3 linked regions of the Macaca mulatta genome follow. The protein of the gene in region 2 purifies or fractionates together with the protein of the main gene of each other region. This does not show direct contact. Links are inferred from orthologs where the notes say so. Each region holds a gene or a part of one and is shown on either strand. Other genes may lie near its edges.

The links. Proteins that work in one complex are often made in the same cells at the same time.
Region 1: the proteins of TNFAIP3 (region 2) and RNF11 purify together in Homo sapiens (affinity purification with western blotting; 3 studies listed by BioGRID and IntAct, with this or other methods). This does not show direct contact. The link is inferred for Macaca mulatta from reciprocal best matches to the Homo sapiens genes TNFAIP3 and RNF11.
Region 3: the proteins of TNFAIP3 (region 2) and MTOR purify together in Homo sapiens (affinity purification with western blotting, with the first as the bait; 3 studies listed by BioGRID). This does not show direct contact. The link is inferred for Macaca mulatta from reciprocal best matches to the Homo sapiens genes TNFAIP3 and MTOR.

What each region holds. Positions count from the first base shown.
Region 1 is NC_133406.1:189,391,238-189,394,165, forward strand, and holds the end of RNF11 (RING finger protein 11), read right to left. Parts: intron 2,604-2,928; coding exon 2,432-2,603; 3' UTR 507-2,431; downstream 1-506. UniProt on the Homo sapiens protein: Essential component of a ubiquitin-editing protein complex, comprising also TNFAIP3, ITCH and TAX1BP1, that ensures the transient nature of inflammatory signaling pathways. Promotes the association of TNFAIP3 to RIPK1 after TNF stimulation.
Region 2 is NC_133409.1:42,959,744-42,964,098, forward strand, and holds the start of TNFAIP3 (tumor necrosis factor alpha-induced protein 3), read left to right. Parts: upstream 1-1,527; 5' UTR 1,528-1,580; exon of another isoform or gene 1,581-2,440; coding exon of another isoform or gene 2,441-2,491; intron 2,492-3,412; exon of another isoform or gene 3,413-3,638; intron 3,639-4,355. UniProt on the Homo sapiens protein: Ubiquitin-editing enzyme that contains both ubiquitin ligase and deubiquitinase activities.
Region 3 is NC_133406.1:229,491,477-229,495,042, reverse strand, and holds part of MTOR (serine/threonine-protein kinase mTOR), read right to left. Parts: intron 3,337-3,566; coding exon 3,092-3,336; intron 1,666-3,091; coding exon 1,450-1,665; intron 1,090-1,449; coding exon 884-1,089; intron 1-883. UniProt on the Homo sapiens protein: Serine/threonine protein kinase which is a central regulator of cellular metabolism, growth and survival in response to hormones, growth factors, nutrients, energy and stress signals.

The DNA.
Region 1 (2,928 bases), on a different chromosome or scaffold from region 2:
GTTTCTTCCTGGTTAAGCTTTTCAGAAATTTCAAATCCCACAGCCAAGCTTGAACATATCTAGCCCATATCTAAATCAAGAGATTACAGCTATTGTTTGGTTTTAGAAACTTTGGTGCTATCAAGCCTAAGTACATGATTAAATGATATTAAATGCCAAACAATAAAAAATACTTCCCACAGGTGTGTGTGTATATATATATAGAGAGAGAGAGAAAGAGAGAGAGAGAGAGGTATTTTAAAATAATTATACACAACTCTTTTAAAAGATATGGGGAATACTTACGTAATCAACTCTAACTTTAGCCCTTCACAGCTGTATTATAACTTTATTTAACAACTTAGTAAAAGTCAAAATTGATGGTTCTTAACATTGCATGTTGAGAATACAAAGTGCCTAAAAATGACACATTCTGCCCAATGCTAGTTCCTTCAGTATTACCTCCAAACTTCTGTGAAAGACTTGTATTGAAAAGAAAGACTAACTGCAACATGGAAGATGATTTTAAAAAAAGTTCATTTACCAATTTTAACAATCTAGAAAAAAAGAAAGTCTGACTATAATACTTGATGACAGACATCATGTTTAAGTAGAAAACACAAGAATAAAAAAGCAATTATCACAGAAAATATTGCACAACCTCAGTTGTTTCCTCCAAATCTGCTTTATGTAATTGGGTGGATATAAATTAATAAACAGAAATTTAAGCAAGATACATGTAACAATTTAACAGAACCTGATCATCTAATTTCTTCAATTTTTCTCAAATTCATCTTTAAGTCTTTCCATCATGGGGCTCATAAAGAAATTTAAGCAACATATGGATACTACAGTTGAATGTCAAATCTTTACAAAGTACTTATGACATACTACATTCCTCTATAATGCAATTATGCATAACCTTCATGACAGTGTTTTGTATGTAGAAAAGTGTTAGAGTTCAATATTCAACCCAATATAAAATAATAATAAGAAACACTTCTGATGTTAGGTTGAGACCACTTTTCCTTTTGCTAATGAATGATTTTTTTTAGCTGTATGTAATATCACTGAGGTGAACCAATAAGTCACCTTTGAGTACATATGAAAAAATAAACACATGCTAAATGGATAAAACATTACTACTACATCTTTACTAGACCATCTCTACCTCTAACACTTCAGAAGCTTAGAGATTTAAAGTATTCTTACATTAACTGCAAGAAACAAAGGAGAAATTCCTTCTTTTTTGAGATCACAACTATGAAGTCATATGGTTATACAAATTCTGTGTTTGTGTGCAAAACATAAAATACAATTATCTTTATTCTCCCTGCTTAGTTTTGTCAGTCAGCTAGCAGGATGTAATAGATACCTTTCCAAGAAACAGAGACTGAGATGTGTTTTATATAACTTCAATAACCTCAGCACTACAGTAATGAGAGATGCAGTATCCTTTTGCTATGGTTCAAGACAAGAGGGAAGGAGGTCAGAAGAAAGAAAATAAATCAAAATTGTTACAACTGAGTAATTATTTCTCATTAGGTCTCACCAAGGTGCCACCTTCATTTTTACATAAACGTGGTGGCATAATTCAATCTCAATAAATCAGAATTCTTAATATTTAAAATTTAACTTGACTTTCCATTATCACCATATTAACAACCAAAATAATTAGATAAAACACATAGGAAAGGGCAATATTAAACCCCACTTTAATAGAGTTGGTTTCTTGACACATTAACTTATTTTTTATAGAAAAGGGATAGTGCATCTCAGTTTGCTTACAAGCTAGGAGATCACTTTGAATTCTGCATTTCCTAACTGCAAACAGAATATAGCACTTATAACAGGTTATAAATAAACTGGTTTTCAAGCATAGAGCCAGCCCCAACGATAATAATACACTATTTAAAAAGACCTAAGGCAATGAATTCCATTTCCAATGGAAAAAAAGAACTGTGCAAACAAGCTTAAAACTACTTTTTTGTGTGTGCCAGTGTTATAAAATGTAGCTTTTAATAAAACCTTGACCCAAATGTCAGCAACTTCAGAAAAGAATTTGGGTGGGGAAGGGGAAGAGAAGAAAGTTATTTCATTTAGGAAAAATAACTACTATCTTTTTCCTAATCTTCAATACACACAATTTAAACAAATACAGCTGCTGTAACACTTTACACAATTCCTATGTACTGGAGCAATAACAAGATCTAAATACAATTATATTTTTAAACATTGGGTCAAGGCTTTACATAAAAATACCATCCTACTTTTCCCACTAAGTTTCTAAAATATCACGTACTTTTCCCCCAACATCTGCAGCCATCCAGGAATTTTAAGGAAACTTTTGTGCATGATCTTAATTCCTAATCCCTGGCTCTTTGGGCTCAGTGACAAAAGATCAAAACCACCAAAATGGTGGTTCACTTGAAGTCAGATGAGAGACCCTGGCTCAATTAGTCTCATAGGATGAAAGCAGTGCTGCATCAACTGGCTCCATGCAGGAGGGGCACGTGAAGGATCTCATCAACCAGTCATCTATACAGTCCAGGTGATAGATGTGCATGCACGGCAGAAATCGAATTGGGTCCCCATAAACAAAGTCCATCATACAGATCACACACCTGTTGGGAGCAATGGAGAGAAATCAGAAGGCATTTTCGGAAGTGTCCTATTCAGAAAACTGTTTAAATCCCATTAAAGACAGTGTTAATCTGAGTAACACATCAGAATGCTTTGCCTGTCATCTTATCACCAAAGCATGCAAACTGAATTTTTTCCTAATGTTGATCTATACACAATTTCTTATTTAAATCCCCCGAGAATTTGCAGGACTTAGGAGCAATCAACAGAGCAAAGAGAAATGGATTACATATGGATCAAGTTTACTGCTGTGCTTGTAAACAGCTACATACTATAGCAGATACCTTAAGGAGAATGGGATTATTT
Region 2 (4,355 bases):
AGGATAGTCTCGATCTCCCGACTTCGTCATCTGCTCGCCTCGGCCTCCCAAAGTGTTGGGATTACAGGCGTGAGCCACCGCGCCCGGCCTGCTCTAAACTTCTTTTTGCCAAAACAGTGCCATCCTCCACCCAGCTCGCATCCCCATCTCTGCAGGTACTTACGGGCGAGAGGAGGATACTTTTCTAATTAAAAACCTGTGATATATGGCCTGACGAGTATTCTTAAATGTAATTAAAGGGACCACAGTACAGAATATTTCCAACTGGTTCTAGTTTAGCCAATCTAGTAAATGATCCAAAGGGTCCCGTGCTTAGAGGGCAGTAAGACAGTAAAAGCACCCTAAGCCTCCTCCCTGCACAGGACCTGCACCCCCACTGCCCAAGGGACTGCACCCATCTCCACATGACTCACTCTCCCTATGCAACGCATGGGGGTGGGGAAGGGAGCGCCAGTATTATCAGCCATCAGCACCCTGGGGTGAACTGATAATCAGGACAACTAAAAACACACCTAATAAAGCCTTGGAGACACATGGCAAGCACGGTGATGGACTAGAAGCGATTTCTAAGCTGAAATGCTGCTTGAATGCAATGTCAGCTGGATGCTTGGTGAGCAGAAATAGAGAAGGGGAAATGGAGCAAGGGTGGCATAGGGGTGAATGTTGTTCTGATTCCTAAGTTTACCTAAGATTGGGGCCACGGGGTCGGGTGTTCCCTGGGACCTACGTCTCATGCAGCCTGGGGTCCAGAGCTGGCAGGAACAATGGAGATGGGGACCAAAGGCTGTCACTGCTGCTTTTTCTCGAAATTCCCGCCCGGGTCCTGTCTGGGGCTCCCGCCTACGCGCTTATCACGTGCACAGCCCAAACTTTTCAGAGCCAGCCCGAGGCCTGCGGGCCCGGACGCCAGGGTGGTTTTTAGGGTTTTCTTTTTTTCTTATTTCCCTTCTTCTTCTCCACAGTTGATGATTTTCTGCAGAAAAACAACTGCGAAAAAGAACCTATTTCATTTCCAGTTCCCATCACCGCGATTTCCACATGGATGTGACGTGACCCCAGCTTCCGAAATGCCCAGGTGACTCACGCGGGGACACCCCGGGGCGGGGCGAGGGAGTTTCTCCCTGGGCCCGCGGGGACTGGGCGGGGCGAGGCAGCGGGGCGGGGCAGGGAAAGGGGGCGGGTCGGGGCGCGGAGGCCGCGAAAGCCCCTCGCCCCCTGCGCCCTCTGGCGGCCGGCGGGACGCAATTCGCAGCCCTACCCAGAGAGTCACGTGACTTTGGAAAGTACCGTGGAAATCCCCGGGCCTAGACCCGCATACAACTGAAACGGGGAAAAGCAGACTGCGCAGTCTGCAGTCTTCGTGGCGGGCCAAGCGAACTTGGAGCCCGCGGGGGCGGAGCGGCGATAGCGGCCGCCAAGAGAGATCACACCCCCGGCCGACCCTGCCAGCGAGCGAGCCCGACCCCGGGCGTCCATGGAGCGTCGCCTCCGCCCGGTCCCGGCCCCGACCTCCGCCTGCTGGGCGCTCCTGCTTTGACCCGGACTTGGGACTTTGCGAAAGGATCGCGGGGCCCGGAGAGGTAACCACTGCGCCTCCCAGTGCCGTCTGCCTCGGGCTCACCGCAGCCTAGGGCTGCGGATGCATGTTGGGCAGCGACCCCCGGGCTGGCTCCGTCTACCTGGCGTTGGTTTTGCAGCGCTCCTGGAGTGGGAGTTTGTTGGACGTTTGTTTCTGTCTGGGTTTTGAAGTGCTGGGAGTTGAGGTCACCGCTTCAGAGGTTGGAGTGACAGCCCTGGATACCTCCAGCCAGCTGTTCCTTTCGGATAATGCACGGAACTTAAGCTGCAGCTGACTGGTGAAGAGGCGCCCCTCGGGCCCTCTGATCGGGTGGTCGTTGATGCTTTGCTCCTTTCGTGTCTTTTTGGGAGCCAAGCGTTGCATGCTCCTGGCCACGTAGACCTTGCAGAAGCGCTGCGGCTTTTTCCCAAATTGTGCAGGGCCAGCCCGACGGGGAGTAGGGTACCGCAGTGGCCGCCAGCCCGGCGGAGGTGGGGGGCTTCAGTCCCAGAGACAGCTTCCCAGACGCTCAGGGGTCCGTGCACAGGGCTGGGGTCCTGGCGCAGGGTCTAGCTTTTCCAGCTGCAGCAGTGTAAGAGAAGTATGCATGTAGACATGGGTCGCTGGCGCCTGCTCCAGCCCCTACCCCACGGTTAGACTGTCTTTGTCAGCCGGAGTCGTCCCACATCCTGCCACCTGGCCTCTCAGGAAAGCAGTGGCATTAAGTAAGGAAGGAGCTTAACTCTTTTTGAACCCGCTTTGTTTTCAGTTCTCCTCGCCTCAGATCTTCTTGCCTTGGAAAGCCAGTCTGGTCAAGTGTCTCAGGGCAGCATTTTGGTGGAACCATTGTTAATTAAAGGGGCTTCTGGACCCGCAACCTTAATGTACTGGATTATTGAGCAGCCAATGAATGCTTCATTCTCATTGTTTAAGGTGCTGCTTTGATTTTTTTTTTTTTTTCAATTCTTAGTACTATTTTTGATAGGCACATCCCCAAATTTGGATGAGGTATTTGTTGATAAATAATTCATCAATTTCCACAACGCAGACAAAAATATCTGCCCAGAGTGGAAAAATAAAACAAGGGGGAGAAGAGTTTGAGCAATGGAGAAGTTCTGTAGAATCCTAGTGACAAAAGTTGAGAAATTACCTTTAAATAAGACAGAGAGGTAACAAATGTTAAGAAAAAAAAAAAGTTAAGGGTAATATTGCATTGTTTGCCACTTTATAATGTATCTGAAACATTTATTCTTTAATCTTAAGTGTAGAGAGATCCAAGAACTGGAAACTTGGACAGTGGGTTTTGATTTCTAAGGAGGCAGTTTTACAGGCTGTGCAAGGCTAAACCTACCAATGAGATCACACTGGGGTATCCAATATTGACATTTGCATGTCTTGCATATGGTTTACAGCTCTCACTATTTTAGATCTTTGGTGAAAAATCTTTAGATTCAGAAGAGAAAAAAGGGTCAGACAAGCAAAAAGAGATAACACCTCATTTGTTTAAAATCTTCCTATTGCCCATCTCTTTCCATCTGATTGTGGCAGGCACTGTAGCCACAGGTTTGGTGTTGTGGGATTGCAAGGGGCAGGTATTGAAAGACCTGGCTCCTAGGCAAAACTTCGCCCCTGAATGGCTGTGGGATCTGAGCAGTACCTGTAACTCCGTTGCCTTAGCTGCAGACTAAGTTGGTAGTGTGATTTCAAGGAAGGGAATAAGGTCATCTTTGACTTTTAATCCCATCATCAAGCATGGTGATTGGCCTTCAGTAGTGGTCAGGTAGTGCTTGTTGGGTGGATGGGTGGGTGGGTGGGTGGATGGATGGATGGATGGATGATATCGTGAGAGAGACTTTTGCTGTGCCACAAAGGAAAGGTGTATGTGTTATTTTTGTCCTGTTATGGTTTTGCCCAATTCCACCTGTAGAGGACGTCTGACATCAAAAGAGAGCACCATCTGATCCAGAGAATGACTCCCACTATGCCTTTCCCAGCAATCAGATTAAGAATCCTAATCTAAAACTATCACCAGAAAACTCCTCAGGAGAAACCATGGGTCATCTAGTCCAACCTCTCCCCTGTGAGTGGGCCACAAGAATTTAGACCACCTTATTAATGGTGTTAAGAGAGTCTAGACCCACGCAGGAGTAGCTACCCTAAAATCTAGATTTCTTCTCCTCCCTCTTCCATAGGTTTAACATTTTTATTAACTGGAGAGTTGCCCTGGCAAATAGGATGCGGCAGGAATGGAATTAACAATCACTGCGAAATTTCCTAGGGAATGTCTTTGTGCTCTGAAAACTTCTTCATCTTCTTGGAAATTAGGAATTGTGACCAGACACCCTACTAAGGGCTAGTGAATCCGAGCTGGCTTTTTACACTGTTCCATACTGGAGAGATCCCACATCATGTAAATTTGCATCATCCTGCACTGTTGGCATGGGTTGTAGATGCTGGTCTTTGCCGCCTTTCCTCCTTCATTTGCCAGAGTGGCTTCCTGGTGGAAACTTCTTTCCTTGTCTGCTTCTAGACTTTCATTCCTTCTACTAGTTGATTATGCTTAAAGATTTCAGGGTGAAAAGCCAGGCAGACATGCCCCTGTGTTGGTACCTGGAGGGTGATGATAAAATTTCATTGGCAGTTGAGTTAAAATGATTGAGCTCCAATATCTGTTCTTAGAAGTATAGAATTTATTGTTCTATTATTATTTTGTGGTTTTTCATTTTTTGTTTTCGTAGAGACCTGGGTCTCACTATGTTGCCCAGCCTAATCTCAAATTCATGAGCTCAAGTGATCC
Region 3 (3,566 bases), on a different chromosome or scaffold from region 2:
TAATTTGTTGATTGATGATATAATTTACAGCCACTTTACAACAAATTGTGAACAAACAACATTTCTCTAGAGTGAGTTACATATATTAATGATTTTCTATGTTTAAGTTCCTTATATATTACAAAAAGTGTTTACTTCAAAACAAAGCATGAGGGAGGGTCAGGAAGCAGACAGCGAGCAATGGGGACAGGAAATGAATGGGTGAACCACATAGAGACCCAGAAGAGGCAGCTGGAAATAACTTTGCCAGGCAGGACTGGACCATGTATTGCTCACCAGGAGGCCACAGAACTTACTCAGGTAGGTGAAGACAAAAACTGAGGAGCCATATCTCAAGAGGAATTCTACCTTAGGCTACAGACCAAGCAACTGAGTTTGGCATTCTCATATTATTTAAGAACAAAAGCCAGGATCACAGACTGGGGCAATGACTATCAGAATAAATGGTGGAAACGGTCTCACATTGGTTATTTTTGTGAAGAACAATGGCTTCCATGCTTGACCTGGCACCAGCAAGAAAAGCAGGAGAGTGGAAGGATAGGGAGGCGCTGGGAAGTCTGACACCATCTGCAGCAGATCAATCCAGCAAGCAAAGAGGGCCAAGAAATGGGATCACTGGCGACTTGCCAGGAAAAAGAAAGAACTACATGAGAGGACTCCGAACCACCTTGGAGTCATATTGACAAAGGGCTCATGAGGTGATGAGCACTGGAACTGCCATTATAAAGCCAGGGAAACGTGGACCCTTGCAGACAAATGTGGCTTTTACCAGGTACCTCAATCTTTCTCCCCAATCCTTGTCCTCAACTCCGCTTCCTCAAGCAGCTCTCAAAGTGAGAGTCCTGTCTTCCCTGCCTGTGGGTCTGGCCATCATCCCGGTTACCTGGATGAGCATCTTGCGCAGGAAAGGCATGACAAACGCCGGGTTCATGCTACTGAGTCGGCCCACAGTGCAGATGGCCAGCTCCCGGATCTCAAACACCTGGTCATTCAGAGCCACAAACAAGGCCTGCAAGTTCTCCGCCTGGGCCAGGTGTGCATCAAAGCGCTCGTCCAGGGATGCCAAGACACAATAGCGAATGTCAGGGTCTGCAAGAGCAATGGAGCCTTTGAACATTTCTTCATGACCCCATCACTTTAGCCCTTCCCAGCTTCCACCTCCACTGCCATCAGCGTAGTGGGAAGATTCCAGATGCTTTCTCTCATCTAACCTCTGTTACTCTTTTCTCTACTCATAGGAGTAAAGACAAAGAATTAAAGGCAGATTATCTTACACTAAGAGGCTAGAGTAGCTGCGCCTAACACGCCTTGGCAGAGAAATAGCTGAATATCAGCTTGTTGAGGCCGAAGATCTCTAGAGAGGCCTTTCATTACGTAATGAAACTGGCTACTCGCAACTGCCCTAAGCTCCTTAACTCCCCTAGATTGCTTCTGTCTGGGAAGCCTTACCAGGATCTGTTATCCCAACCACGAGCAGTTTGCTAAGCACGTCTGCCACCACTTGCACTGCAGTCTGGCTAACCACATGAGCATGGCCACTGATGAGGTGGATGGAGGGCGTGAGCAGGCGGGAACAGGTACGGGCAGCCTCCATGCGGATCTCCTTGTGCTCACTGTTTAGAAAATGATCCGCACAGTGGCGAACAAATTGGGTCAGAGAGTGGCCTGGATAGAAAGGCAGAGAGAAAACAGAATAAACACTGCTGCTGCAGACAGGTAGGTCTGCAGCTTGCTAGCTGAATTTTCCATTTTGAGGCTACTAATTCTACTTTCAACCAGATATTGATCAATAAGATACTGACTCAGAACTCCTTTTTTTTTTTTTTTTTTTTTTGAGACGGAGTCTCGCTCTGTCACCCAGGCTGGAGTGCAGTGGCACGATCTCCGCTCACTGCAAGCTCCACCTCCCGGGTTCACGCCATTCTCCTGCCTCAGCCTCCCGAGTAGCTGGGATTACAGGCGCCCACCACCATGCCCGGCTAATTTTTTTTTTCTTTTCTTTTTGTATTTTTAGTAGAGACAGGGTTTCACCATGTTAGCCAGGATGATCTCGATCTCCTGACCTCGTGATCCGCCCGCCTCGGCCTCCCAAAGTGCTGGGATTACAGGCGTGAGCCACCGCACCCGGCCTGACCCAGAACTCTTAAAGGGTAACAAGGGGGCTTTCAATCAGCAGAAAGGCAAAAGAGAAATAGAGAAACCACAATAGAGAAACCACAGGTGGCTGTCTCCAGACAGCATGTTCAGGCTTTCTGTACTTGCTTGTTTCTCTACAGTCTTGACCAATACTACCTATATGATCTTAAATTTCAAAAGTATCAACTTCTCCTCCTGAAATATATCTCTGTGGGGTATTATTGTGGGTTTATTTGCAGTTTAGAACTACACAGTACAGTACTTTTAGAAATCATACCGCCAGCCGGGCACAGTGGCTCATGGTTGTAATCCTAGCACTTTGGGAAGCCGAGGCAGGCAGATCGCTTGAGGTCAGGAGTTCCAGAACAGCCTGGCCAACATGGTGAAACTCCATCTCTACCAAAAATACAAAAATTAGCTGGGTATGGTGACACGCACCTACAGTCCCAGCTACTCAGGAGGCTGTGGCTGGAGAATCGCTTGAACTCAGGAGATGGAGGATGCAGTGAGCTGATATTGTGCCACTGCACACCAGCCTAGGCAACAGAGAGACTTTGTCTCAAAAAAAAAAAAAAAAGAGAAAAGACACCATACCACCATAGACATGGAAACACCCAAAAGCCCCTGCTTATACATTTTAAAGCATTACATATCATCTCAGCTACAAGGAGGTGAAAAAGTGGGGACATGAGGGGGATCTGTCTCTGCAGCATTATTTCCTTGGATCAACGTATACTTTCCCTCAAACGATCTGCCCCCAAACTCAGTATGGGACAAAGAAACAAACAGGAATTACCAATATATGGAAAGAGTCTAGGAAGGATGAGCTGCTACAGAATCAGCTACCCTGTCTCTGGGATCACAGCAAGATCCAGGAAGTCTAGATACTTTCATTCCTTTCCCAAAGTTTCCAGCAGCTCTCACTACCTTGCCAAGAGACATTGTAATTTCTTACCTTCAAATTCAAAGCTGCCAAGCGTTCGGAGGGCAAGAGTGATGCTGCCCACATCGCTGGCCTCAGGGAGGGTTGTGAGGCCAGGAGAGGCCAGCTGATGGGCCAGGCCCTTGGGCATGCCTGGGTGGCGGAGTGGTTTGTGCATAAGGACCAGGGACAGCATTTTCAGTAGCCCATCTTGAATGTCCTTCTTTAGCTGTGGAATCTGACGACTCAGGTCGTAGAGCACTGCAGTGAGGGCAGGGCTGAGGGGAAGGAAACAAGCCACATAAGGGCTGGGCACATGACACTCAGTCTGTTCTTGGGAAGAAATAGCTTTCTCTCCTAGCAAGGGGATCAGGCCTCTGTTCTTCAGAGTAGAAAGGATATTATAAAATAAGAATAAAAGTGTAAACTCTCTTGGCTTAGTCTCAGGTATCCAAACAATCTGTGAGTTTCTGGTTCTCACCACAAAAGATTTGCTCACTATAATTCA